Xenopus tropicalis: one gene and its partner. The protein of the gene in region 2 interacts with the protein of the main gene of each other region in a biochemical or structural test. Links are inferred from orthologs where the notes say so. Each region holds a gene or a part of one and is shown on either strand. Other genes may lie near its edges. The genes, in order: tollip and tom1.

What was found.
Region 1: the proteins of tom1 (region 2) and tollip form a complex in vitro, tested with the Homo sapiens proteins (3 studies listed by BioGRID and IntAct, with this or other methods). The link is inferred for Xenopus tropicalis from reciprocal best matches to the Homo sapiens genes TOM1 and TOLLIP.

Annotation. Positions count from the first base shown.
Region 1 is NC_030680.2:21,547,086-21,563,115, forward strand, and holds the start of tollip (toll-interacting protein), read right to left. Parts: upstream 7,167-16,030; 5' UTR 7,086-7,166; coding exon 7,053-7,085; intron 1-7,052. Other genes in the region: serine/threonine-protein kinase BRSK2, read left to right, coding at 11,458-11,551. UniProt on the Homo sapiens protein: Component of the signaling pathway of IL-1 and Toll-like receptors. Inhibits cell activation by microbial products. Recruits IRAK1 to the IL-1 receptor complex. Inhibits IRAK1 phosphorylation and kinase activity.
Region 2 is NC_030680.2:122,024,846-122,040,312, forward strand, and holds part of tom1 (target of Myb protein 1), read right to left. Parts: intron 11,856-15,467; coding exon 11,771-11,855; intron 11,068-11,770; coding exon 10,989-11,067; intron 9,082-10,988; coding exon 8,932-9,081; intron 8,408-8,931; coding exon 8,273-8,407; intron 5,735-8,272; coding exon 5,585-5,734; intron 5,337-5,584; coding exon 5,220-5,336; intron 4,388-5,219; coding exon 4,254-4,387; intron 3,218-4,253; coding exon 3,169-3,217; intron 1,975-3,168; coding exon 1,878-1,974; intron 1-1,877.

The DNA of each region.
Region 1 (16,030 bases), about 100 Mb from region 2:
TAAATTTTCAAACCTGTCTGTTTCCGACCATTATCTTTGTACCTTGGATTTAAGTTGTGATAGTCCATCCAACATACACATACCAAAAAGCATACAAATATTTTATAGGTATAGATATGGCCAGCCTATTGACTGTAATCATTTCCTGTTGTGCCTAAGTACAATGGCAAAAGAAGCGATTTGGAACCTGTGGGAAATAGCCAGTCCTGCAAAAGAGAAATTGCCAGAAAATACCTTACCATCCGGATTCATTAATATTTGCCATGTGTAAAACACTTTACATAAGAAGGCATTTTCACATGATTTGCAAGGGTCTGGAGAAATGGGGCAGCTACCCTCCTACCCAGCGCCTCTACAACCCCACCATTTGGTCATGTTCTCTAACCATACCCAACCAACAAGGGCACTGCCAAGCACCAATATCATTTTACTATATAGAAACCCTGCTCCCAAGCTAAAATATATGCGGTAATCCTCAACTGTAAAGTGTTTTTATAACAAAACAAGTGCTATCCTCCAGCTGGTAGGAGAAGCTCCTTACTTGTACCAGGCACTAAAATCAAAGGTGAACTGGTCTCAACGATTGAATTGTTCCAGTCTGAATCACTAAAGGTGCGGCTGCAACAGCTGCCCTGGATTAGCCTTGGGGGTTAGTGGGAGATATCAGCAAGAGGAATAAGAACAAGTATATTATACAGGTCCTTCTCAAAAAATTAGCATATTGTGATAAAGTTCATTATTTTCTGTAATGTACTGATAAACATTAGACTTTCATATATTTTAGATTCATTACACACAACTGAAGTAGTTCAAGCCTTTTATTGTTTTAATATTGATGATTGTGGCATACAGCTCATGAAAACCCAAAATTCCTATCTCAAAAAATTAGCATATTTCATCCGACCAATAAAAGAAAAGTGTTTTTAATACAAAAAAATCAACCTTCAAATAATTATGTTCAGTTATGCACTCAATACTTGGTCGGGAATCCTTTTGCAGAAATGACTGCTTCAATGCGGCGTGGCATGGAGGCAATCAGCCTGTGGCACTGCTCAGGTGTTATGGAGGCCCAGGATGCTTCAATAGCGGCCTTAAGCTCATCCGGAGTGTTGGGTCTTGTGTCTCTCAACTTTCTCTTCACAATATCCCACAGATTCTCTATGGGGTTCAGGTAAGGAGAGTTGGCAGGCCAATTGAGCACAGTAATACCATGGGCAGTAAACCATTTACCAGTGGTTTTGGCACTGTGAGCAGGTGCCAGGTCATGCTGAAAAATGAAATCAGATGGAAGCAGATGGAAGTATGAAGTGCTCCAAAATCTCCTGATAGCTAGCTGCATTGACCCTGCCCTTGATAAAACACAGTGGACCAACACCAGCAGCTGACATGGCACCCCAGACCATCACTGTCTGTGGGTACTTGACACTGGACTGCAGGCATTTTGGCATTTCCCTCTCCCCAGTCTTTCCTCCAGACTCTGGCACCTTGATTTCCGAATGACATGCAAAATTTGCTTTCATCCGAAAAAAGTACTTTGGACCACTGAGCAACAGTCCAGTGCTGCTTCTCTGTAGCCCAGGTCAGGCGCTTCTGCCACTGTTTCTGGTTCAAAAGTGGCTTGACCTGGGGAATGCGGCACCTGTAGCCCATTTCCTGCACACACCATTTCAGTCCACTGCTTCCGCAGGTCCCCCAAGGTCTGAAATCGGTCCTTCTCCCCAATCTTCCTCAGGGCCCGGTCACCTCTTCTCGTTGCGCAGCCTTTTCTGCCACACTTTTTCCTTCCCACAGACTTCCCACTGAGGTGCCTTGATACAGCACTCTGGGAACAGCCTATTCGTTCAGAAATTTCTTTCTGTGTCTTACCCTCTTGCTTGAGGGTGTCAATGATGGCCTTCTGGACAGCAGTCAGGTCGGCAGTCTTACCCATGATTGCGGTTTTGAGTAATGAACCAGGCTGGGAGTTTTTAAAAGCCTCAGGAATCTTTTGCAGGGGTTTAGAGTTAATTAGTTGATTCAGATGATTAGGTTAATAGCTCGTTTAGAGAACCTCATGATATGCTAATTTTTTGAGATAGGAATTTTGGGTTTTCATGAGCTGTATGCCACAATCATCAATATTAAAACAATAAAAGGCTTGAACTACTTCAGTTGTGTGTAATAAATCTAAAATATATGAAAGTCTAATGTTTATCAGTACATTACAGAAAATAATGAACTTTATCACAATATGCTAATTTCTTGAGAAGGACCTGTATATTATATAAATATATACAAACATGCACATATATTTATGGAATACTACTTAATGCTATGCCCCTGTAACTATTTTGGGGATAGACAGGGGAAAAAAATCTGCAGTGCTGATCAGTACTGACTACATTTTGAAATGACCGTTCAATTCACTTTAGTATTTGGGTACAACAGTATCTTGTGGAGATACTAAAAATGAAGGATGGTACATCCGAAAACACATTCATGAAAAATTTATTGGGTCAAATTGAGCTCTATAGAAAAAAAATAAATAAATTTCAGATTTCTCAATACACTTTAGGTGAATTGAATCAGACCCAATATATATACTGCTATATTAAAGGGCAGTGCAGAAATACGATGCAATTCTGATGCCAGGCTGGCATCTTTTAACCCACTAAACCCAAGTGAATTGCAGACATGGTTGACATTACTACTAGTGAGGGCTGCAACCCACCAGTAATTTGTTGTCTTAAATGTGCTTGACCCATTAGGCACGCCATTACTAATGATAAGAGAAAGAGAGCAACTGGCTACCATCATTATAATGTATTTATATAGCACCAGTAAATATTTAACACATAAGGGCTACCCCAACCTTTTGGTTCTTGCAAGGTGGACAATCAGATTACCACTGCACAGATATATCCACACATAATGGACTTCCGCTTTTCTCAAAACAGTCACAATAAAGGGTAAAGCAAGGGGCCTGTTTATACAGAGCTCATTAACAAATAATAGGAGTTACTGTTGTAACATATACCACGGATGATGTACATTTTATAACACTGAGCTGCACCCATGTCATAAGCCAGTCACAGGGCAGGACAGTCATAGCAAACACAAGCTGGACCTTTTCCTTACTGTACATTGGGCACAATATCTTATTATAACCTTCCCCACAGAAGGGACATTTTATAAATCTTACATAACACTGACAGGGTTCACTTATAACATATGCAAAAGAGTTCAGCTTCAAGGTGTCTGGAATTCATGAATGTGGTATCTACTTTAAGCCATGCTTTTTCCATCAAGATTTTGTTTTTCTTTTGCAGTGTCGTCCTCTCTTTTCCTTCCTTTCTGCTTCTCATGGTAATGGTCATGTTAAAAACATGCAACCCCTGGTTGGGGTCTGGTGTTGGAGTACCTTAGATCACCTTACCCCTGGATCCATTGTAATGCAGTCAGACTCTGCTCAATCATTATAATGATAAATGTGAATGTTGTGGTCACAAGCTCATTGCACCCTTGCTTATTGGTTTAAATTGTTTAGTGGCGAGCACAATTTTCCCTTTTTTGCTACAGTTTATACTACAGCAGAGGCCAGCTCCATGCTGCAACCCCCAACATTCCCAGCTGTAGTCAGGTGATCCCAGTTACGACCAAAAAAAGGCAAATATTTTGCAGGAAAATTCCAAATTGTAACATCAATCTTTTTGCCCCTGCCTGATTTTAAATGATCCCGAAAGAGAAGAACTGTTTTGCAGTTGGATTTCAGCATATAAAAATGGTATTTATTCATACTTTTTGAAGGAATAGATACAGTGATAGGTATATTAGGGGTTTCTGTGTTGTGTGGGGCTCTCTAACAAATTTTGGTTTGGAAGCCGGACTTCCCCTTTAATGTCGTGGAGAGGACCTCTGGTCTTTGTTGGTATGAATTTTATGGCCACAACCTCACTGTACCCCTGCCAAATGGTTTAAATTGTTTAGTGGTAAGCGCAACTTTTCCATTTAATGCTGCAAGTTTGGTCAGCATGTCCAACAGTCAAACATTAAAAGATACAATTCAAGGCCCACCTTGAAGGTTGAACCATTGTTGAGGGCCCCCCTTAGCTCATAAATAGTTTATGGACACCATTACTGTTATAAGCCATAGTTCCAACTTAATATGTACAAATTATATTATATATTCCTTCCCTTTCTACAAAAACGGTGCAAAGGGTAGGAACATAGCAGGAAGATTATGCTGAAAAAATCCTAGGGTATTCACTCACACTCCCACTTATATACAGATATGGGATCCCTTATCTGGAAACCCATTATCCAGAAAGCTCCGAATTATGGAAAGCCTGTCTCCTATAGACTCCATTTTAATAAAATAATTCAGAATTTTTAAACTGATTTCCTTTTTCTCTGTAGTAATAAAATAGTATCATGTAACTGATCCCAACTTAGATATAAATAATCCTTATTGGGGGCAGAACAGCCCTATTGGGTTTATTTAATGGTTAAATGATTCCCTTTTCTCTGTAATAATAAAACAGTACCTGTACTTGATCCGAACTAAGATATAATTACCCCTATTGGGTTTATTTAATGGTTAAATGATTCCCTTTTCTCTGTAATAATTAAACAGTACCAGTACTTGATCCCAACTAAGATATAATTACCCCTTATTGGGGCAGAACAGTCCTGTTGGGTTTATTTAATGGTTAAATGATTCCCTTTTCTCTGTAATAATAAAACAGTACCTGTACTTGATCACAACTAAGATATAATTACCCCTTATTGTGGGCAGAACAGCCCTATTGGGTTTATTTAATGGTTAAATTATTCCCTTTTCTCTATAATAATAAAACAGTACCTGTACTTGATCCCAGCTAAGATATAATTACCCCTTATTGTGGGCAGAACAGCCCTATTAGGTTTATTTAATGGTCAAATTATTCCCTTTTCTCTGTAATAATAAAACAGTACCTGTACTTGATCCCAACTAAGATATAATTACCCCTTATTGGGGGCAAAACAATCCTATTGGGTTTAATTAATGGTTTATTATTTTTTAGTAGACTTAAGGTATATAGATCCAAATTAAGGAAAGACCCCTTATCCGGAATACCCTTTGTCCCAAGCATTCTGGATAATGGGTCCTATAGACATATCTATATATATTCACCAAAGAAAAGTGGCACTGCTGCAAACTCGTGCAAAAGGACTTAGCCCGTTGGTACAGGCTCACATACAAAAACCCACCAAAAAAGTCCTGCCAAAAAAAAAAAAGAGTCTTACCAACAAGTAAAAGGTGATATTTGTGAGAAGGAAGAAAAACATTTGGGTTACCCTGACTCGGGTTAAAATAGTAGATAATATTTGTTATTAGTATGAAAGGGTATAATATTTTCAGTAGAATTTCCATTCAAAGGATGGAACAGAAAGCATCATTACAACACTCACATGACACAAAACCCATAGCTGTTTTGAGGCTAGCTATTGCAACATTGTTTCAGGATTCCGAAACAGTAGTGCTGAGACTATAAACAGCCAGGCATTTACTGCCTTCACTAGCAATTACATTTACATATAACTTCGAAAACCACTGAAAACCATTTAAAGTACAGGTATAGGACCCCTTATCCGGAAACCCATTATTCAGAAAGTTCCAAATTACGTAAAGGCTCCATTAAAAATTCCATAGACTCCATTTAAAAGAAATAATTCTAATTTTTAAAAATTATTTCCTTTTTCTCTATAGTAATTAAACAGTAACTTGTACTTAATTCCAACAAAGATATAATTAATGCTTATTAAAGACAAAACAATCCTATTGGGTTTATTTAACATTTATATGATTTTTAGTAGACTTAAGGTGAGTAGATCTAAAATTACAGAAAGACCCCTTATCTGGAAAACCCCATGTCCCGAGCATTCTGGATAACAGGTCCCATACCTATAATATATATTGCAAAGCTGTCTTTACAGGACAAAAGTAAAGAGAGGACATCAAAGCATCACAGATGCTTTGAAGCTAAAGAATTGATGTAAAAACAGATAAATACATATTGTACATGTGAGGAACAAACTAAGATGTTTACGGCCCATATCCTATCTTGGTCGCTGGGAGTGGAATGCTTAGGCGGCTGAAGCACATGACCTAGCCACATTCCAACGGGAGACATCAGTGCATCAGGGCTTTAACACTCGAACAACTCTAGCCGCTTTAAGGGATAGGGATAGGCGGCCGAGAGTTTGGCTAAATATGTCCATATTGCCCAAGCAATTTAGGGCACGTACAAGGAGACCTAGAATGTAAAGCCATAGGACTGCTAAAGACTTCAGCAACCACAAAACTTAGGGCCCTTCATACCAAACCTGCCCTTTAAGTCTCTAGGCTTGTGGGTCAAATACTGGTTGGCCCATGTATGGCCACCTTAACAAGAGATAATGCCCTCTGTACAAACAAGCTCCACCCTTTATTGTTACTGTTTTGAATTAGAAAAAAAGCAGAAGCCCATTATGAATGGGAATATCTGTCAGGCTGCAATCTAATTACTCACCTTGCAAGACATGGGGTAGCCTCAGTTTCTCAGCTTGCCCCTGTTCCAGCTCAAAAAAAATTAACAAAACCCATAGATCTGTCGCGATTCAAATAGGCAAAAAAAAACAAAAAACTAGTTGAGCTCAAGCCAATTTATTAGTAACCCTTTGTTGTTGAGTAAGACGGATAGTGCTTCTTTAATTTCATATCCTACATAACTAGGTGAAAAATGAGCTGCTGCAGGCTGCACTGATTTATGTACAGCCACGCAGAACGCAGTTTAATAGCTGATTGGCTACACAGCATGTAGGGGTTTTCTGTGGCGTTTAAAAGGAAAACATGCCGTCAACGAGGTAATACATTCCAAATATCAAAGATCTCAATGTCACCTTATTTACAAACTAGCCAGGAATGCAGCGCATTCCTTATGTTGGGGCTGGGTCTCACCTCCATACCCCGACATTTTTATCACCCCTCATGTATTGAACCTACCACCTAAACACCCCGTTTCACCCCAAAACCTCTCTCCACTCTATCTCACCTGGCCTCTCTGGGTGCTGATACTCGTTGCCATGGCTTCTGAACAGCTCTTATCTCTCCGGTCTCGTCTTCTCCAAGACACTTCCTGTTTTAGCTGCTACACCCTCTAACAAATCTGTCACCTGACTTGCAGCGCACACGCATGCGCAGTAAGGCATCAGACGCTTGCGGTTTTAGCGGCGGCTCCGCTAGCAACTCGGTCACCTGACCTGCCGGACGCACGCATGCGCAGAATGCCTAAAGTGCCTCAGGACACAGGTTGGCTCTTGTTTTTGAGGATAAAATATAGAAACTGAAATGATAGAAAAATTATTAAGTACATATATGTCAGGAAACTGTTCCCTATGGGTGTCGTGTGTGATTTTATATCAGTATTGGTTAATTCTGTCACAGGCCATAAATCCAACTTTTAAGTGGGAAATTAAATAACTTTTTCAAATACATTTTTATTTTATATGTTATTCATGTCATACAGTTGCTCTCTACTAAATGCAAAACTGTGAGGAAAAAATACCAGCCTTGCTATCTTTGTGTGAATGAGTACAATTCTGTACAATTGTGTGTAAAACAGAGTAAGAATGTGTAAGTGTGTAAATGGGTGTGTAAATATTTGTATTGTGTGGGTGTGTCAAAGGGTGTGTAAGGGCGTATAAAGGGGGCATTTGCTAACGTTCGATTTATTTTTTCACAGTTGGAACATATGTGCCAAAATACGATTTATTTACAGGAAAGTTGATTTACAGAACCGCAGGAAATCCGAAAGAAAAAATGCGCCATCTAAAAGCTGCTGAGAGCAGAAGTCAATGGCAGGTGTCCCTTTTTACAACTGGAAGGTATTTCCTCACTTATGAAAAAGCTGCCGTTTTTTGCATTTTCCCGTGTCTTTTTTATTTGTTTGTGCTTTTTCAATTTGGATCTTTTATTAAAGCCTTTTTATTGTGACTTTTGTGAAAACGAGTTTAGACATGAGTTTCAAAATACTGTAAAACCATGAAAATCAGAATGTTAATAAATCTGCCCTTTAGTATATGTAGGTGCAGAAAATAATGTGTAGATGCATGAAACAGCGCGGCATTGGACTGGCCTGCTGGGACACCAGGAGAAAACCCGGTAGGCTCTAGTCCTGTTGGGCCCCACAGGGCTGCCATCAGGGGGGACAGTCATCCAGGGCCCGGACGATTCTCACTTTTAAGGGGGGCCCAGCCTTGATACAGTTTTTTTTAGCTGGGGCCCCCCAAGTACAGGCCCTGTCATTGGTGGTCAACGAGTAATCCGATTGGTCGCGCCCCGTGTGTACATGTAACGTCATAAGAGTGAGGACGCTGCGGGGAGCCGGAGGAGAGAGACAGTCAGCTGGAGGTAGCAGGAGAACACTGGGGGGGGGGGGAGCCGGAGGAAGCAGAAGGATGCTGGGGGATAGCAGGAGGATGCTGAGGGGGGAGCTGGAAGAGGCAAGGGGATGCTGGGGGGGGAGCCAGAGAAAGCAGGAGGACGTGAGGGGGGGCGGAGCCGGAGGAAGCAGGAGGATGCCAAGAAAATTTTGTTGTGAGGGACCCTGTGATTTCTCATGACCTGGGCCCCACTATCCGGGCACACTATGTTGCAATCCATAACTACCGGCGAAAATCATCGCCACAGGTAAGTTTGATGAAGTAAAATTGAAATGTTCTGTAGTCTTTTTAGTGACTGTTTTCTTTTTTTGTGAAACTGTTGTTATTTTCATATAAGAAAAAAAAGTTAGTAATACATACAAGTTAGAATGTCCTCCTGTCTTGTTTTATTGACATATTTAAATGTCAGCATGATTGTTTGTAGAGATTTCTAGCATCCCCGATTACAGCACGCCAAATTTGACACTTTTCAACACTGAATTAAATGGGTACACATTTACATCTTGGGAAAACCCTTCTCAGCCGCTTCACCTGACTCTTGAAGCTGGCACCACTCCCCCATACCTCCTCTCTGAGAAACAGCCTTTGCTGGCACCGCACCCCAATCCCTCAGCTGGAAATGCAAAGCTTTGCAGTGATGTTGTCGTCACCATTTTTGGCATTGTAAAGACCTGCACATAGTTTAGTGGTGCTGTAGTCAAGGCGGAAGGCACATGGGTGCCCCCTTGGATGCCCCCCTAGTTTGTGCATCATTAAAACTGTACCCCTTGAAGAGTAGGGAAAGCCCAGAGGACAAACTCCTGCCTGTTTCATACTATACCACTAGGGGGAGTGTGCACACAGAACTTGACCAGTGCTCCAACTCCCAAGCTCACCCATTATACTGTGCCCAGGAAACATTCCCTCTAGAGAGAGAAAGCTCCCATATTGTCCGACAGACAGTCTGAGCATTTACTGCATGCCTACGAATTTATGATAGGAGTAGGAGGAGTGGAAAACCACCCATATAATGAAAAATAAATGTTGGAGAAGAAAGAAGGTCTAGTTCTATGCAACTTTCCCAAACCCATTAAATAATAAATATAAATGATTTAAGTTATTTGTAAATGTTATTGATATTAAACTCAGTATCTCCATGGCCATTGTTATTGTCTGCACAGTTTGTTCTAGCTGTTGCAAAAAAAAAAATGTAGCAAAAGTCAGCTCTCTCTCAGGGGTCTTTTAGTTATAGAACATGCTAGGCTTTATGGGAACAGGAATCTTGGTTGGAGGAGAGGTGGCTTCTGCTACCTTGTTTTAAGACTCCGGACAAGCAGAGCAGACAGAGACAGTACATTGAACTGTTTTATTTAGTGTTCATTTGGGGGTGTTACCCCTTTAGGAATGCAGGTATATATGGAGCAGAATGATGCCAAGTGATATATGTATAGGTGAATAAACTTCCCCTTTAGTGAAACATACTGGTATGCTGTGCTGTACCCTTACACTAAACATCCCTGAGAGAAACCAGTCACCTTCTTTAGGCATGGTGTCACCTTCTCTAGGAGCAATAGTTCTGTGCACAGCTTACATATTCTTACTGTGCATTAAAGTGTAGTACAATAGCAGGGCATAATGTATCTACTTTAAATTTCAGGGCTAAAGGCTGGCATTGGCAATGCAGAAAGGCTGGCACCCTCATATGGTTTGGATTACATAAATCTGCAGCCCCCCAGCTGTTGCACTATGACTACCAGTGGGATTTGCAACTACTTGAGAGCTGCAGGAACACCTTTCAAATGTTAGACAGTAGAATATGCGCTTTCAGTTTCTGTTTTTCCCCTTGGATGTTCTAGGCTAGAAGTCCCCAACCTTTTTTTATCTGTGAGCCACATTCAAATGTAAAACGAGTTGGGGTGCCCCTATGTGGCCTGGCAGCCTACAGGAGGTTCTGTTTGTCAGTACCCCTTGCCTCCAAGCCAGGAATTCAAAAATAAGCACCTGCTTCGAGGCCACTGGGAGCAACATCCATGGGGTTGGTGAGCAACATGTTAATGACGAGCCACTATTTGGGGATCAGTATGTGGTTAAAAGTGTATTGGTAAAAGCAGTTGTTTACAGAAAGAGAAGTAGGTGTGTGCTGTAATGTATATTTTGCTTCTAATAATGGAAAGTACTGGACTTTGAACATAGAAGAGAAGGCACCGGTAACCCCATAATACATACCTTTGCAGTATGCTATCTGTGGGAATGATAATATGCACTGTTATCAGTGCATATTCACACTCCCACAGATTGCATCCTGCATTGTTACAGATGTGTATTATTACTGTACTGCACAGCTGAGCACAATGATAAAATAAAAGACAGTCACACATCCCTACGCACAAGGTAACCCCCCTAGTTCAATTAAAATGCATCCCTGAGTCTCCAACCGGAATAGAGTTTAGCGTACACCAATCACAGCCAACCTAACATCTCAGCTTTAGTAGGCTGCAACCCCCCCTGCACTCCCCCTTCTAGCAGCGAGCGTGAGGATTGATCAGCAGGTCCCTGCTGAGCTGCTTGTATGTAAGGCGGCAGCATCTACACCATGCTCCCTGCACCGTAGCCCCAGCTTCCCTCTTATCATCTTACTTTACAAATTTTGCAATATTTAGTTTCTTTTTTTTTTTTGCAAAAAAAACTAAAAAGAAAGAGAGGGAGGTGCAGTCGTAGTGAGGTGGTTTTAATTTTTTATTTATTTATTTATTTTTTGTTTCATTCATCACATTGAGTCTTCAGTGCTCTGCTTCGTGACAGGAGGAACGACAAGGTACAGAAGCCCGAGATACAAGCAGGTTCCTATTGATGGTGAGCTCCAAAAGGTTCTCAGTTGGGCGTCTCAAGAACGGACAGGTTTATTCACCGAGAGAGGGGGGGAGAAGAAGCGAACACAGCCATCCCCCCCCTCCCTCTCCATCCCAGTCCTCCTCCCCCCTTTCCTCTTGAGGATTTTCCTTGCATCTGGATCCCCGTGGAAAGACAGAAGACAAGATGACCACAGTGGTGAAAGATGGTAGTGGAATACCACACATGCAATATGTGGGGCCATATCGGCTGGAGAAGACGCTGGGGAAAGGGCAGACAGGTGGGTACAGCCGGAAACAATAAGGATGTAGGAGGGAGGATGCGGGTGGGGGGGTCCACGATTCTGTGGGAGGACCTGTGTTTGGCAATGGTATTAAGTGAAGGATGCTTCTGTACATATATCAATCATAGTATCTGCGGGATGGGCTCACAAAGCTGCTTGCTTGAGGTGCCTAGGCCTTTCTTTACCCGGTCAGTAACGGGGTGGAGACAGTCAATATTTTGGCAGCGTACAAAATCTAAAAAAGCAACTTAATAGAGGTCATAACACAAGATGTCAAAAAAAGATGAACAGCTTAGACCAGTAGTTAGATCCTGGAGCCATACAAAAGAATGACCTTAAGCAGTGGAATGTTTGAAATTGGACCAAGTATGAAATTACACAGTGTAAGATTATTGCACTAAGCAGTGGTATCAGCGCAAGGGTGTGTAGTGCAGGCCTTGAGCCAATGTTTGGACCAGCACTGGTGCTGTGCAGTCTTGCTCTGAAACCAAAGCTTAACAGGAAATACCAGTGTTGCTCGGGACTGGCCCAGTGACTTCACTTTAGCGCTAAATATTAAATATTGCCCATAGGAATGCCTTGTCATTGTGCACGCCGAGCCAAATGAGCTACAGTTATTGTGTTATGCGCTGGCTCCCTTACTGCCACAAAGCAATCGCCTTTAACTCAAGTTTATGTGCCAGTACAAACATTGCCAGAGCAATACTGCAAAATTTAGTTCTGAGATTTCACGTGACGCATTCCAGTACCAGAACACGACCCAGTAACAATATAAAACTATAAACAAATTCAATCACTTTGATTATGTTGTACCTGTATAATTAGATATACTGTGCAATGCTGGATTTATACAAAATATATTGGTGGACCTCTTTATGCATCAATAACACGAAAAAGAACAAGCATTAGCTTTAGAAACCTATGTATGCAGGGGTAATCTCCAGCTGTTGGTGCACTACAAAAGGCTGTCAGGGGATGCTGGGTAATACAGTTCAGCCTTAGCTTGTTTTAGCCATTAAAACAGGTTTCTGAGCTGAAAAAGTTTTCAGGACACCATCACATTCAAGTGTATTATAAATTCCTATAGGTAATATCTTTAGGAATGATACTTAGTTCATAATGCTAAAGAGATGATTTTAAACTGCTCAGTGCCTCTTCACATACCATACTTATTATTTAAGAACAATGGGCCATTCCTTTAATACACCCATCCAGATTTATATATATATAAAGGTACTAAGTGTGTTGAAGTCAGAAGTGGTGACTTTTATCTGCTCCTAGTGATCTCTGTTGTGCAAGGCTGTTCACTTCAAGGATAGTGTTCTTGTTACACCCCTCTAATTCCATTGACGTTATAATCCACAAAAGAACAGAACGCAATCTAGCAACATTATTCACTGAGCAAGGTCCTCGGGGATTAACCACTTGCATTCCAGGCGCAGCCAGATATTACACTTTTAGTGTTCTGCAAACATCACAGGTGACAGCTGAGTTGAAAGAAGTTTCCCCAGTCCATGTCATTGTACATAGTGCAAACACTTCACTTAATGTGAAGAGATTTCTATCTGTAGATATAACAAATGCATAGCCCCGGGGCTGTTGTGAACTACCACTTTGAGCATCCTCAGCCAAGGTTGAACAGTTTATATGCTGATTATACTGTGCAAGGGATGGTCAACCTTGAAGAGTCCATTTGCTGCAGAACTACAAATCCCAGCATTCCTCAACTGAGGTGATGGTTATTTCTGAAAGATGTAGTTTGTCATTGTGTATCAGGGGGGTCACTTGGGGAGATGTAGATACAATTACAAAGGGCATCATTTGTTTAATTTCTTTCTAGCATTGTTATTGGTCCTGATGAATCCCAACACTTCCACACACTTTTAATCTGTAATATAGATATTATTATTTAGTGCTTCTTTTCTGGTTTCCATTGTTGTTATTATTTTTTGACTTGGGGGCTATTTACTTTGAAGGTACAGCTGAACTGCCCCTTCTTTTTTAGCAGTGTTGTCCAAAATGCTGCAGCCTGTTATGCTCTTTGTTATGTATATGCTAGACTAGACTTCAAATGGGCCTTCATTTGGGCCAGCATGTCAGTGTTCCTTGCTGATTACTTAAAACAGCTCCTGTGTCAAATACTTCTCAGTCTGGTCCAAATCCATTAGCATATGCGTATGGAGTAAGGTAGCAACATGCAAAATATGCTTCAGGTTCGGTAACCCATAGCAACCAATGAAATGTTTGCTTTCATACAGCTAACTAATAATAAATCTTCCTTTGCTGATTGGTTGCTGTGGTTTCTAGAGCTGCTGCAAACTTTGTCCCTGTTATAATAGCCAAGAAATCCAAGATGGGTCTCACAATTATTGGCCCTCCATCATAAGTGATTGCTAGGATGTGCCCTTTGTGCTTTACAAAGTAAGTGTATTATAGTATACCGCTTCCTGACAGCATGCAATCAGTCCTAGATACTGGTGAGTATCAACACCTGAGCATTTGCCCTGCTTTCATGATGTGGTGCTTTATGTGCACATGTTGCTAACAGTAAGCAAGGGCTTTATCAATACGATAAAGAACACTTGTGGTCACAGACGAACATGAACAAATAGATGAAGATGTGTCTATGTCGAGGTGCGCCCATTCATGTTGCTGCCATACTGCATTCATCATCATCATAGATACAGCTCATAAAGACAGGGCACATTATTCAATGCCAAGGTGCACTGCCCTTATAGTGAACTGGACATTATTACACTAGATTATTGTGCTGGCCTGGTTTATTAATCCCTTTCAGTTGATGCTACAGTATTGATTTTTCCGAACCTCCTCTTGCTTTTATTGCGATTAAACGAGTACCTTAAAATGAGACAGCTAATCCCATATGTGTGTGAACCCATTAATGCCGGGGCCAAAAAATATTTAATACAGAGCTGTAGATCTCCCCCCCCTACATATCACAAAAGATCCATTTTTATTTCTGATGGTAGTCCTGCTTGGCAGCAGTGGTTTATTATGGAATTCCATAGTATTCTTGGTTTAAAGGGCTGATCTGGTCCCTTTAATGCAGGCTGGCGTTCTTACACTGGATTGTAAGTGGCTTATAGTGCAAATGTGCACTAATAAAGGATACTATATATTTGTTACAAAGTCCTGCTAGTGCTGTGTCCATTCCATGGTTATATCTCAATATCTACACTCGGCACCTAGGCATTTATAAATATTAATATATATATATATATGTTCAATAATATTACTCTTAGGCTGAATATATTTCATAATCCCTTTTTGCATAAAATACATGATGACCTTACAGTTGATCATCCAGCCAGGCTAACATAGTCCTAGTGTTTATATAATGTAGGATGACCCATTTTCTGTACAATAATAGATAGCTGTTCATGAATGGATTAATCTAATATTCACTGACCTCCCATCTACGGATTTTTAGGAACAAGACCAGACCAGGTTTACGTTCAGTCCATGAACCCTCTACCCACGACCCCCCACTGACACCTTATTAGGGGCTGATATTTAACTGCAATTTCTTGTTTTTTATTGGCCATAAGACAAATGAGGGAGAAAATCAAGTCATTGTAAAGGCAACAAGACCAAGGCAGCTATTAAAGGGTAAATTCTCATTGTGCGATTGCAATGGTGGAGTGGATGCTAGCATGTTACCATTCGTCATACAGGGGAACAATAGCCAATGCTAAGATCTTCAAGGGCTTGGGGAGGGGGGGAGGTGTTGTTGTGTCCATGGAAAGGGGATGGGGTCTTTTTTTGGAAGGGAAGCAGGTGTTCCCACCCAACGGTGTGTAATTAGCCGGAGTAAAATCAGCTGAGGCTTTCAGGCAATGTGAAAGCGATCACATATGCCCCCCTCTGTCAGTTCACACACAAAGGCAGATGACCCACTCCCACACACACAAAGACACGTACGCTCACATTTATGTGATTTCAGCAGGCGTAAATACAATTATGTCTTGATTAGATACGTGCTCCTTGCCCCCTCCTTCATACACAGACAGCCGGAATGTATACGTCTCACCTCTGGGCTTAAATCAGGAAATCACTTCTTTCACCCAGTCCATTGCAAAGATTGGGGTACTTAACGTTTATTAAATACATAAATATTAGGGATGGTGTTACATGTCTCTGTGTCCTACTAAAGCCTAGGGATAGGAACACTTCTTATACAAGGGTTTCAGGAGCACATGTTTCTGCTTAATGTGCACCAATCATAACACACATCTGCCTCGAATATAGTACTCAGTTTATATCACTCAACTTAATGAAATGCTACTATGAGCACCAAACCTCTCATCTACTCCATATGCTTAGATATCATGCCCACCAAATCTCTCATTTCCTCCTAATGTACAGACTTCATGAGCACCAAGCATCTTATCTCCTCCTAATTCACAGATATCATGAGCAACAAACTTGGCATATCTTCTTAATGCAAAGATATTA
Region 2 (15,467 bases):
TATGTTACTTTCATATCAATAACATTTTAGTAACTGAGCCAGTAGAATACTAGCTGTTGGGCAACCAGACTTCAGCAGCACATTCACACTGTAGAAGACTTTATTAAAGGATAAGGTAAGGGTAAAGGGGCCCAGTTTGCAAAAATTCATGCTTGCACTGGTATCTATTATACAGGAAACTGCTAACCAGAAAGCTCTAAATTAAAGGAAGGCAATCTCCCATAGAGAATTTAAGTAACTTTTATTCATTTTTCTAAACTGTACAGTACATATTTGTGGCAAAACACTTCTATTGAGTTTCTTTCATGTTAAAATGATTAGTAGACTTAAGGTATGGTAATCCAAATAAAAAGGAAGAACCCCTAATTCACCAAAAAAAAAAAAAGAAAAAAACTTTTGTCCCAAGCATTCTGGATAATATATTCTATACCTGTATAATTGGCAGCATTAGATAATATATGAATATGACCTGACTGGAGTGAAGGGCCACAGCCATAAGTAAAAACTGAACTCATACTATGCGCCTATAGTTATGTATGGTTTTTGTTATTTCTTGAATGAAACAGGGCAAATAAGGAAACTGAAGCTACTCTATGTTTGGCCCTTGCAAGAAAGATAATTAGATTACCAGTGGGCATTTAACCCCCCCGCACACTGGACAAACTAGTCACAATAAAAAGGGAAAGGTTGGGATTGTAGAATTCCAATTATTATTGTAATCTAATTATCTACCATTCAAGAAGCAGAGTAACTTCAATCTCCCTCTTATTCCCGTTGAACTCAAATACCAAAAGTAAGGTATTTTTGCAATTAAAATAACAAGTAAAAAGTATGTTCAGCACAAGCCCTATTCAATGCAATTTTCTCACCAGGCTATAAAAAGACTACACACATTTCACGCAAGTTGCCACAAGCAGCAGGTTCATATGAAACTAAAGTATCAGAGTTCTGCAGTTAGCTTCATCTTTTTAATGTCTTTTGCCACCTAGTGTCAGATGTTAGTAAATCTTGCTTAGTACAGACATGAGAGTTATTACCCATGCTTGATACCTGGGGGTTCAAACATAGTTAGAGTTTTCTTGTATCCTTGAGCAAAATGCGCAAGCCATATGGCACAGGGGTCATTTTGACAACTGTTGTGGGAAAAAAGTGGTAGTCAAAATGCCCATAGCCATATACTAATCACCTAGTAAGAAACTACTTTCCACAGACGCGTATGGTAAACAAATGCATTTCTGGTTTGTGCTAAATAAAGGATACAGCATAAAGCACTATATTTTAATGCCCCTTTCATTTTCAGAATCAATTAACCTTAAAGAGATACTGACACCATACTGACACCTTTTTTTACATCTGTCATAACATTGTCTTTGCATGAAAGGTTGGGAAGGGATGATCAAAATGACCTATAGGTAACTTTTATGTACATTTTTATTTTAAAGAGCAGATTTTTAGTGTTAGTATCACTTTAAGTTAAAAGGCTATTTAATTTCTGTATGTATTACGTGCCCCGTGTATGTATTGTTTTGTATATTGTGCCCCAACCCTTCTATTCTGCACTTTGCTCTCCCCTTAGACTTCTTATTAATTTGCCACATACTTTTAATTTCTCTGCACATTCAATTATCCCCTTCTCTTTTCTTTTTCTGTTCCTATGTACATTTTTCCCCTGCTCCTCTCATTCTGCCTTGACCCCTTATACACATCCTTCTCTCTTGATTCAACCTCCAGTCCTTGCCACTCTGCTCCCATCTCATCCTCATGCAATCACAATGGGCTGCCAGCTGACAACACTAAGATTTCCCAACACTATAATATACCAGCAGATGATATATAAGCAGATGAAAGGCAAAATACAAAAATAAAAGAAGACTTACTGATTCCTGCTAACTGCGTAGAAAGAGTCGGAGCTGAATTAGAGGGCGTTTCCTCGAGGTCAATAAGAGATGGGGGAAGAACCCTGTCTCTTGCAACCTATCAAGAAGGATAGATAGAAGTAAGAGCAACATGTCCACTGGGTTCAAGGACTAAAATTATGGTGAGAAGAAAAAACAGAATATAATGAAAACATAGGGAGCAAAACATGAGTACATGGGGTGTTCTGATCACAATGATGGACTTAGGGAGAACTACAGTCATCCAAATACTCATCCACAACAACTATGGTTGAATGCAAAAATGCGCTGCCCTACAGCACAGTGCATGGTCATTAAGTTCGAAATGGGCGACTTCCATTTTCCGAAAAGATGCTTGCTTGATAATTATGTGCCAGAGGGAAGTATGTTCCAGAATGGGTAGAAGCTGCTGGCAGAAAATAACTTCTTAACTGCAACAGGTTTTCAAATACCCTATTTGTGTGCCATTACGATGAACTAACTAATATCCAGGTATAAAACTACTTTTTTACAACAGTCATTATCTATATAATAGTCTGTGCATATATAGTGATTATTATTTCATTTTTAAAGCCTTGGTTGTTCTGAATGGCACTGAAAATTACTGTGTAATGTTTTAATCTTTTATTTCAAAACTATCACTCTTTTCATTGATGGTAGAATTCAAATCACCATCTGCATCTTACAGAATATAAAGTGAGAGTGATTATTAAAACAAAGAGACAAGGACACTGCAGCTCAGTGTGCAGGATGATCAGCAAGTGAGGTAAAAGAACATATTTTGTTACAAATGTCTATTTGGGAATGAAAAGATTTCTGTAGTATTTTATAATGTGGGGAAGATTGCTGGCTACATACTTTATCTCTGCAGTACAGTCTGTGCAGCTGACACTGAAATGGCCAGTTGCAGATTCTGAAAATCTGATTTGTATGTTTATGACGTGTAAAATAAAGGTGCTCCCTTTGACATGCTTTGTTGAAAAGGTTATAGTCCAGAGTCATATTTAATTCTAAAGCAAATGAAGAGACAGCAGGAATAACTATTTAGAAAAGTAAGGATGAAGTATATTTGGAAAAGTAGGGAGCTTAAGGTAATATCAGAAAATTGACACTGCTACAGTCAGATGCAGCATCATTAGATCCTACTTTTATTAATCATGGGAATGTAGGTCTAAGTGTTACAAGCTGGTTGTGACTGTTATCTGGCACTTGAAATCTTTATGTCTTGTACAGATCATGTAGCAAATCTATTTCTAGAACTTGTTAAAATTACCTGTGCCTCTGCTACTGGGCCTTGCTGACCAGCGAGCATCCTCTCAAACCTGCAAGCAAAAGCTGCATTAGACAGACAATATTTGGAAAGCTTGTACTGTTTTATAGAATAAATTATCTGTATAGCAATTTAAATGCATTAACTATTAAACTTATCTAAAGAATTTGCTATAATTATCGGATTATCCTGAAATGAACAAGAGAAAAACAAGTAGGTAACTTACAAAAAAAACAAAAACAAAAGACAGAATGGGGTTAGTAAGCAAATCAAATCATTACTTAATCCTGGAAAATTGCATTGGTGTTAATACTGGTCTTGGCCTGTAACAATGAAGATAAATATCTTTCTTTGTACATAGCTGTGATGTTTAAAGGAATACTGTCATGGGAAAACATAATTTTTCAAAATCAGTTAATAGAGCTTCTCCAGCAGAATCCTGCATTTAAATACGTTTTTCAAAAACACAAATTGATTTTTTTATATTTAATTTTGAAATTTCACATGGGGCTAGCCGTATTCCTGATTTCCCAGGGTGCCACAGACATGTGACCTGTGCTCTGATAAACTTCAGTCACACTTTACTGCTGAGCTGCAAGTTGAAATGATATTATCCCCCCCCCCAGCAGCCGATCAGCAGAACAATGGGAAGGCAGCAAGATAGCAGCTCCCAGTAGGTATCAGAATAGCACTCAATAGTAAGAAATCCAAGTCCAGCTTGGGACTCCTCCAGTTACATGGGAATAGGAGAAACAATAGGTTATCTGAAAGTATACCATAAAATTCATGACATTATCCCTTTAAATTCCCAGGTTTAAGGCCTCTTAGGTGGATTTCAGGTGTTTGGAGAGCTGAACCATACAATGAGCCAAAGTCCCCTGCCATCGCCGATCATGTTTAATAGGAAACACCTAAAAGTGCCAGAATGGCCACTTTCCAGGTAACAGCAGTTTAAATGGACGTATGTCTTTTTTCAACCCAACTTACTATGTTACTATGTAAATAGGTAATCTTAGCAAACCTCAGCACAGTTTTAAAATAATATTCTCAATTAGAACCCTTACTCTATATCTCTATAGATTTATTACCTTTCATGGCGAATGAAGACATTATTGAGGTTATCATTCACAATAAGTAGCTCTTCAGTCAGCTGTTCATGGGTTACACGGGGGATTAGCTCCAAAACTCGCTGCTGCATTGCTCGGCACGTCCGATTCAATTCCTGTGCAAAAGAAAAGCAACTGTAGACATTCATTAATGAAACACATGGGATTATCATGTTTTCAATCTAAATGTCATTTCACATTTTGCCATGTTCAATTATGTTGTTGCAAGTCCTCTCTACAGTGTACATTTCAAACCACCATTTGCCATGTGATTTCCAGCTGAATTGTGCCCCCCCCCCCCCCCCCCATTCACTTGAATGGTAACTGCCTGGACCCACACAGTAAACTTGAAAACACTGCAATAAGCAATTCTAAACAATAATTGCCTGACCCACAAGTGCACCATGAGGTCCAGGTAATTACCATTCCAGACACTGGAGGAACTGCCAAAATCTTTAATAAAAAAAAAAATAACGGGGGCGTTGCCTGTGCTCGGTGGATAGAAGACGTGTTCTAAGCCTTAGAACACGTCTTCTATCCGCCGAGCGCAGGCCACGCCCTCCTCCGCATCACATCCACATCCGGCATCCTTGGGACCCACCCTACCTTGCCCCTGCGCTCGGCGGATAGAAGACATGTTCTAAGCCATAGAACATGTCTTCTATCCGCCAAGTGCAGGCCACGCCTCCTCTGCATCGCATCTGGCATCCTTGGGACCCACCCGACCTTGCCCTGCAGCATCCGCGGCCAAACATATTGTACGGCTCTCCTGGAATTACATTTTAAAATATGTGGTGTTTATGGCTCTCTCAGCCAAAAAGGTTCCTGACCCCTGTGGTATGGTATGTAAAGAGACCACAAGTCCAACACTAGCTGATAAATCTCAGTCAGAAACTAAACAATAACAACATTTTTATTGATTCCGATAGGAAAGATTTACTGCCCCACCTGTAACAGCTCCACGTCAGACTGCTTGGCTGTCTGAGGGACCAGCTCTGTCAACATCTCCGACATCACCTTTGCGTTACCATTCACAATTTCCAGCTCGCTGTGAAGCTTTGCCAACTATTGCAAACAGAAATGCCATTTAGGGACCAATTTCATAAAGTCTGTTGTCTGACATATTTAGGTAATGAAGGTCAAATAGAGATGTGCTTTCAATGTATATTCTTAGTAACTGATATTTTTAAAACAGTTCTCAAGCTTTACTCTTTACAATTTTTTTTTGGTATACTAATAAGAACTAATGAGAACTGTGTGCCAGGTAATAATTAGGCTTTCCTTTTGGAAAGAAAGACAAAATATTTGTTTACCTGATCAGGTGTGGGGGTAACTGCAGTGTCGCCAGAGGCTGTAGCTGGAACATTGTATGGGGGAGGCTCAGAATGTACTGACCCTCCCCTCTGAGGAAACTCTGAGGAAGGACAGTCCTGTTGAGAAGGGGATTCTGGTGCAGAGAAGCTCTGAGGGGAAATATGACAAAATTAGAAAATAAAGAACCACTGGGAACACCAAAAAGATCTTTCCCTTCCATCTCTTTGCACCAAAATATGGTTCTATTACATTTACCATTACTTCACTTCATCTAATGTGAACTAATATAAAACAATTCAATTACACCTTCTACAAAGTAGCCTCTATCTTTTAAAAATTTGCACCCAGGCCAATGCAGTGGCTCCAGGTGCAGACACACAACTGAGAGGATGCCCAAGGATTTCCTACCTGTGCCAGTACACAGGCCAAGATCAGCCCCATGTAACATTAGCCTTCAAGTTGAAATAAGGCAATAGATAAAATGATTACATAGAGAACAGTTAAACTCTGTAAAATACAATGGTTTTGGATAATAAACAGGACTTAAATGTCATTCATGTCTCCCTACAGAACTACAGAATAAAAATCTTTTCACATAAAATGCGACATTTATGGCAAAGAAATAGTTTATTTGTATGTGCTGGCTGAACAGATACAACTTTTAGGGTGAAGACACAGAGAGCTACTTATTAGGGCTCTGGTACACGGGGAGATTAGTCGCCCGCGGCAAAACTCCCTGCTCGTGGGCGACTAATCTCCCCGAGTTGCCTTCCCCCTGCCATCCCACCGGCGAACATGTAAGTCGCCGGCGGGATGGCAGACGCGGCGGCGCGATTTCGCGCAAATCGCCGAAAAAGACTCGCGAGGCTTTTTCTGCGATTTCTCGAAATCACCCCGCCGCGTCTGCCATCCCGCCGGCGACTTACATGTTCGCCGGTGGGATGGCAGGGGTAGGCAACTCGGGGAGATTAGTCGCCCGCGAGCAGGGAGTTTTGCCGCGGGCGACTAATCTCCCCGTGTACCAGAGCCCTTAGAAGCTACTTGTCACGGCTACTGAATGCAAGAAAATACTCAGCCATAGACAATACTGTGAATTGACTCTGTTAAAACATACATAGAGACACTTATCAGTAAATAATCAGCATTGTCTTTTTCTGTAGCCATGACAAGTAGCTGCTACTAGTAGCTCTGTGTGTCTTTACCCTTAGGGGCTAAGGTACATATGATGTTTCCTGAAAATCCAAGCGATTTCACTTACTTTTATCAGCCAAGTGTATTTTTAAATTACCCATGATTCGTTTTACTCCCCCATATACTTTCCCACAAAGCCAACATGACATTACCTCTACCCAAACTTGTCCCTTAGACCTTTCCTTTTTAATTTAGTACTGACCTGGAGGTGGACGTTAAAAGTACTGTTTCTGTTTTAGCTAATGATACTAAATTGTGCAAAAGTTCCATGCAGGATGCTGCCACTTTGCAGAGTGAATTGACAAAATTGGAAAACTGGGCAGCAAACTGGAAAATGAGGTTCAGTGTTGATAAGTGCAAAGTTATGCACTCTGGTAGACATAATATGAATGTAAGTTATACACAAAATGGTGGCTTGGGGGTATCCTTACTTGAGAAGGATCTGTGGATTTTTGTAGATAACAAGTCAAATTCCAGGCAATGTCATTCTGTGGCTACTAAAGCAAATAAAGTGCTGTCTTGTATAAAAAAGGGCATTGACTCAAGGGTTGAAAACATAATTTTGCCTCACCCTGAGTATGCAGTGCAGTATATTTGAGGGGATTATAGACAGATAGGGATGGATCTTTTTCCACCCCTTTAGATCAGAGGAACAGAACTTTCATTTGAATCACTGTAGGCGCAGAAACGCAGAGCGTGACATAGCCCTAATAAAAGTTTTAAAATTAGGATTTTTTTTTGCTTTACATCATTAAGGAGCCATTATGATTGACCCTCCGGCAGAATCCCGTTCCTGGTAACTTTATTAACTAATTACAATTTTAGCACTCTAGAGATATCTAGTTAGGACCAAGATACCATAGTATTGTTTAGCTGGGGGCTATAAAGAGTGGCTATTAAAAAAAGCATTAAATCTTAAACTGCAGACTATAATTTCTGCCAAGGGGATCAATAAGGTTGAACACTGGACTGTTGTTGATAACAAAAAAGGACAAGTGTTCAGCGTATGGTATAGCAGACAATTATAGAAAACACAGCTTTATAGAACAAAATTAGGTGAGTAGTTTTATTGAATAATGCTTACAAATCACTTATATACTTCATCCTATCTGTTGTATGATGATAAATTAATTTGCATGCTGTTTTTTATTAGTATTTAAGCTTGAGAGTGTTAAGGTGGCCATACACGCACTGATATTATCATACATGTATAGTGAGAGATGAGGCAACCAAGATCGGCAAAAGCCGACATTTAGTGCTGCATCAGATGGGGTAGAATTCTTTTGTTTCTACCTGCATATCTGACAATTCAGCTCTGAATGTTAGTGGAGTGTATAAATAATCTTTCCTACAACCAGTGGTTGCAGGAAAGGTCATAACTGTAACGTGTATGGCCTCCATTAAGAAGGCTCTCATTTAGTACTGTCCTATGACTTCTCTAGCTTTGGGAACTACTTAAAATTCCCCCATCCCACTTATTCACACAAGTTCCTTACTGGTTGCGGTGTGTGTATAGGAGACAGAGTGTCCAAATCAGTCATTGGAAATTCCAGGCCTTTCCTCCTCAAATCTTCATATACACTGACCACCCCAGTCAGGTCTGGAGAGCTACGGAAGGCATCTGCCCAGGCCTACAAAAGAGAGGTTTAGAAGGTTAAGATCATCATTCAAGTTTATTAAAAAAAAAAAAAACCTAAAAAAGGTAGATTGGATTACAAATGATCCCAAAGGAGATCTGACACATTCATATAATTCATAGGAACTTTTTTATAAATAAAAAGAGGTGTCAGCATTACTAGAAATTAAGGTTTGCAATCTTCTTTCATTCTTCTGAGTCACAGTACAGAACAATTAAAGCAACAATTTCCCTTTAAAAGGCCTCTCTACACCTCTAAAAATGTCATAGTATAAGGGATTACCTCTGGCACTATAGAGTTCAGGAAGCCCAGTGAGGAAACCAAATGTCCTAAAGCACTACTTAATAAATCTGGCTAAGATATGGGTACTTTAATAACATTGCAAATTGCCATTTTTTAGCAAGTGAGGCCCAGTATATTACTTTTATTTTAATACACAAAGAAGATCACAGACTACATAAAAACCTCTTGTTCTAACCCAACACAGTGTTGAGAATGCTCCCTATAATCACCTTTACCTGTATTAGAATTAGAACTTTATCATGGACGATGGCTGGAGGGTTGTTTTTGGGTAAAATTGTCTTCACCAGAACTCCCTCCACAAACTCTTGGCTACCTACTAGAACGTGGAATCGATGACCGCAGTTTTTCACGCAAGTCTCCAAGAGCTGGAAAATTATTAAAAAAGTAGTAGTGAGTAAGAGTCAAAGAAACATTTTACATTTTATCTATTGAGACAGCAACATACATGCAGTAATCCTCAGCACATTGCAAGTACACACAGATGTATTCTTCAGCACAATATTGGTACACACATTAGTCAAAAGGGATTCTGAGAACAAATTCCTTAAGGCTCTTAGAAAAATCCCATTTACATGGGTTTATCCTATAGGCTACAGCTCACCCACTGGGTTTTTAAAGCAGAAGCCAGGATAATAGCTGATCAGATTCCCAACTACAGACCAGTTTCGCCCTTCTTGGGGCTCATCAGTGCAGTGCAGGGTTTTCTGATGGGATTCACGAACAAGTCAAAAGGGTTGAGGAGACCGCCTCATACGTATGCAAATAGTCAAAAGGGATTCTGGGAACAAATCCCTTAAGGCTTACACATTAGTAATCCTTGCCATGTTACAGATAAACACTAATAGCCATGAAACCACAGATACACAGTGAGTATAATCACAGCGCGTACATATGCAGTAGGCCTCACATACACATACACATACACTGAATAAAGCTGGCCATGCAGGCGCCGATATAAAACAAAGTTTCATACAATGTGTTGGCTCCTAATAATTGTTCCAACAATTTCCGTACTGTGGTGATCAGCTGTTTAGTCAATCAGATAGCTTAGAACATTTTTATTTTATCAGATAACAATAATATCTTTCTCACAATATGCACTGCCATCTGATGATATACGTCTCTGCTATTTCTGGAACATACTTTCCTACGATTATACATAGAGTTATCTTTATCTCCCTGCTGATACACACAAAGTAATCCCCAGCACGCTTTAGATGCACACTAAACAAAGATTACACGAGGTGAAGATTTGTCGGCCACAATAGATCTGCAACAAATCTCATGAAGATGCCTCTTCCCCTTGCCTAAGCTTCAGATTGTCTCGAGCACAACCAAAAAACAAGCTCTTTGCGTATACGTGTTGCATTTGGCATCTTCAGAGTGGGGTTGGTTTCACTTTCACACAAATAAACACAGTGTCATAAAACAACATTTTTATCCAATTTGCTAGGTCAGCAGTGTCTACTGACACTACCTGCTGTGGGAACCCTGAAATGATTGCCATATTCAGGGTGGTGGTAATACCAGTGTTCCCCAGTGTCAGTACATACCATTTATCAGAGCAGGCTGAGCAGGAACACTGGAGCTCTGTGCAACTATTCAAAAATGCAAGGATCCTGTTTGTCCACAAGTACCTTTAATCCATATGTCAATCTGCCTTGATTTTAGCAACTTTACAGTCATAAATCAGTTTTATATGCTTTATTCAGTAAAATAAATACCCCATGTAGAACTTTTTTAGAAATATTGGGTAAAATATCTCCTGCATCAAAAACCCATTAGCTACAGACTGGTGTTTTGCATCAAAAATACATTTTCAGTTGCTCTCATTAAGTGTATAATTTTTTTACCCAGAGACAATAATAATCTCAGTGTCCTATCTCTACAATGATTTTTTGAGAGAACATGGAAATTTTCAATATGTAGAATGTACCAAAACACTGGGCCACTCTTAATGATTACTAATAAACAAATCAACCCTTGGGCTCATCTAAGTGAGTAAATGATTCACAGAGCATGTTCCAATTAAACTCAGGGATTTGAGAACATTATGGAGAGAAGAAAATGATATGCCCTTTTACAGTCCGTACTAGAACTTATTTCTGTAAGTGGCATGGTTGGCTAATAACCTAACACTTGTGGGGATGGTTATAGATGAGTTCGCCATGATTGCATCTCCAGGCTGTAGCACTTCAGTCTTCAGAAAATATTTCACCAACCTCTTAAATAAGCTGAAAAAAACCCAATAAATCTGGTGCCTACATCTCACCGTTAATGCCAGCATCACCTCCCGAAAGTTCTTGTTACCCACAATCCTCTTCTTTAATGCTCGGATTGCATCTTTTGGCCTATAAAAACATGGTGTTACTGGAAATGAGGAAACCAAGTAAAACAAGGAGTTTTGTCTTGTGCTCAGCGCAGGAACCATTTTGCCATAAAAGAGAAGGAATAGATTACACCAGGGATCCCAAACCTTTTTTACATGCAAAAATTTCTGAGGGGTGCCAATTATAGCCCTAAGTGGACTTGCAGCCTACAGGAGATTCTGACTGGCAAGACACCAGGTTTTTATGCAACCAAACTTGCCCCCCAGGAAAACAAAAATAACCACCTGCTTTGAGGCCAATGGAAACAACATCCAAGGGGTTGGTGAGCAACATGTTGCTCCAGAGCCACTGGTTGGAGATCACTGGATTATACCATAGCTCCTATAGAATACTGCAATGACTACATGGAAGGACACACATAAAATCCTATATGAGATGTTATAGCAATCCCCATAATAAAATAAGGGTACCATTACAAGATATTGCAAGGTGATTGCATTTGACTAATCCACATGACCTGGTGACCCTTATAAATAAGGAGTTCCATGACCATATACAAGGTCAAAGACCCAGGTACTCTGAGGTGACTTCTAATATCCCTATTTTTTACAATAGCGAGTACATTAATCCCTATATATTCTCAAACTCAAATGTGCTCATTTTAAGGCTACAACATGCATCTTTGCAGTCTTTACATTCACATACAACATATCTTGGTCCTTACCCATCTTCTGTCTCATTGATAATATCACAGACCTCCATGTTAAGACCCCAGTCTTCTGAACGAAGGGATCCATCAGTGGCTTTTTCTGAAAGACAAAAATTAATTGTGTTGATGAACAAGGGCACTTTTGTGAAATAACAAAATGCAACAAGCAGAGGCTTGGCTATATATTCAGTGAGGTTTAGTTGTCTATCTTACATGCTCTTAATAAACAAGCCACCATATTTAGATATCTTAGGTCAAGGTGGGAGTGACCAGCTAGTTTCCTTCTGTCAGGGTTCTCATATATACAGTATATATAATATATATCATATATAACACAGTTCAAATGCTGGCACTGATGTTTAAGAGGAATATCAGTGCCTGGGTTCAGTCCAAAGATAGTTCCCACAATGTAAAGGAACCCGCACTCACAGGACTTATAATGCAGCAAAAGTGATTTTTATTGTGGAGCACACAAACATTTCGGCTAACACAATAGCCTTTGTCAACGACCCCTAAGATTAGCTTCTCAACCGCTGCCCAGAGCACATTGAGCATGTGTAGTGTCACTGACACTTTTCAAGATAGGGAGCTTCTGTGACAAGTTTGAAGTCCTGGATCAATGCTGCTATTGAGATGCTGAAACTTTAGGCTGGTGCAGTAACTACAGTATATAAAATATGGCATTTTAGCCATATGTATTTTTATGGTTTAGTTCTTCTTTAAGGAATAATTTTCTAGGAGTAGTCTCCCTCTGCTACAGCACACCTGACTTGTCCCCTCCCCTTTCTTGTCTTCTCTTTCTCATAAAATGTAAGCTCTTTGAGGTAACGATTTAACTCTAACTGAACTGAAAATCCTAGCACTTGTGTAATTACTCTGACTGTTTCATTTACATTAACTACAACCATTTTAGTGTTTATACTGTATTACGTTTTATTGTGTTTATGATTGCCACTGTTTCATTTATATCAACTGTGGCCCTCATTGTGTTTAAACTTTGCCAGGATTTTATTTATATAGCAATGCATACATTTGTAGTGTTGTTTAAATACAACAAAGCTAATAAATAATGTAATAATAAGTTGTTCTCTTTGCATATTTACTACTCCTGTAATATAAGAGCTAATGCCCTCTCTGCCCTTCCGTAAATGCAGTACTGAACAGAGGGTGAATACACAATATAAAAACACACAGCACCCAGCCAAGAACATTCCTTTCCCTGATTCAGACCAGATCCAAGTTATATAATTAGATGCATCCAGGACTCCTGGTCGCCTGCAACTGAATTCAAATGAAACTTCTGTAAGTCAGAAAGCCTTACATTCCCAAATCTCCCTTGTCAACGTTGGGAAAGGACTACATGGCTCATGCATTGGTATTTTTTAAAAACTACCAGTTAATTGGCTAGGTAGACATTTTGGCCCCATGTGTGGACAAATAAGTTCCTGGCTGGTCTGGAGTTGCCAGATAAAGTTGCTCATGTGAGGCCAGCTTTATTGTGTTAAAATATCACCATATAAACCATACGATCCATGTAAAAACCAAGAAATCAACATATCTCCAGTACTAACTGGACTACAACCAAAATATTCACTAGTAGTTGTGTTGAGCAGCAAAACTGAAAAACTGTTAACCACGTAGCAGAAACCAACAGAAGCCTAAAACCTTTAGCTCTTATTAATTATATTCAGGGAGACTGATCAGAGCTGATTGGCTGCTACGGGATACATTTGGCTTATAATTATTCTAGTTTTATGAGTTCCTAATATTTGCTGAAGTGATGCAGTCTTGTGTATCCCTATCCTACTCCAACAATGCATTTTTTGGGCCAAGTGAAATGTACAAATGTCTATGTTGTTATTCATGCAGTAAGAATGTACATGTTTTTTCTTCAGACTCCTAATGCATCCTAAATGCACTTTAGTAAGTGTGTAGGAGGAGATGGCAAACTGATGCAAAAAACAAACAGTATTTCTGTGCTCAGTTTTGCTAGTAATCATTTTACAATGTCTGAAAGCAACACATTACGTAAGAGAGATTATGGCTCGTTCTGAAAGGAGAACATTCTTGCTGGTACCATGTGACTGTCGTGCCTTCATAGAAATAGAATTGTCAACAAAATGATTCAGCACTCACACACACACACACACAAATATATTATATACGGTATATATATTGTGATATGCCGTCTGCCTGTACATGTAATTTCTGGGGGAAATTAGCTATGGTAGGCAGGTAAGCAGAGCATCTGGAGCAAGGAGACAGGGACACCACTTCTTCAGGCAATAACACAGGTTTATTTGGGCAAACTCTTCCCAACATAATGATAACAGGAACACAGTTCATCAGCGGTTTCAACAAACTTATTCAAAATTTGTCCCCTCTCTGGGACTCACAATGAATTTTTACATTCCATGGTGACCTGCAGGGCCCCTGGGGCAGGAGCCCTGGTGGGCCCTGCACCCCTCAGTCCGACCCTGAAGACAGCTGTGTTTTCTAAACACACTGTTACAATATATATTACATATATACATATAGTGGTGCTGTAAGTTTGGGAACCCTTTAAAATTTTCTATATATTTATATGAATGTGACCTAAAACATCATCTGATTCTCAAACAAGTCCTAAAAGTAGATGGTAAAAATCTAAACAAAAAATTGCTATAGTTGGTCAAGTATTTATTGAAAAAAATAAACATCATAACTGAAACTAATCATTTGTGGTAACTGTTGATCAGTCCTGCACATCGACTCAAAGGAACTTTAGCCCATTCCTCCATACAGAACAGCTTCAGCTCTTGGATGTTGCTGGTTTTCCTCACATGAACCATTCACTTTAGGTCTTTCCACAGTATTTCAATTGGATTAATATGAGGACTAATTAATGTGTGACTTGGACATTCCAGCACATCCACTTTATTCTTCATCAACCATTCTTTAGTAAAACAACATGTGGGTTAGGATCGTTGTCTCTCTGCACAGTCTCTCTCCCACAGTCTCTTGAGATTCAGTTCACGGACAGATGTCTTGACATTTTCCTTTCTCTGGTATAGTTCAGATGGCAAGCTGTCCAGGCCCACATGTAGCAAAACAGACCAAAACCAGAACACTCCCACCACCATGTTTCACAGATGGGATAAGGTTCTTATGCTGGAATGCAATGTTTTTGTTTCTCCAAATGTAATGAACTTCATTGAGCCAAAAAGCTCTATTTTAGCTTCATCCGTCCAAAAACATTATTCCAGTTCCTTTTGGTTTGTCTACATGATCATTAGCAAACTGTACACGGTCAGCAATATTTTTGCTACCCTGCCATACACACCATTGCTGTTCAGTGTTCTCCTGATGCTGGACACAAGAACATCAATATTCGCCAGTTGCTTTTAAGTTACCCTGAGTTCTTCTCAGACTATTAGATGCCTTGCAGTTGGAGTTATCTTTAATGGTCGATCACTTCTGGGTAGGGTAACAACCCTAGGGGTGAGGTGGCCAGCCGGGTTGCCTAGGGCACCCAGCTTGGCATGTCACTGCACTGTATATAACACACAGTATTCAATTTCTCTATAATCATATGGGACAAAACGGAGGCCTAAATGTGAGCAGTCATAACAGCCATGTATGTGTGTATATCTTCATTTATAAAGCGCTACTTATGTACGCAGCGCTGTACAGTAGATGAAATAATGTGAAAGAACAACTGCTTTATTTATTT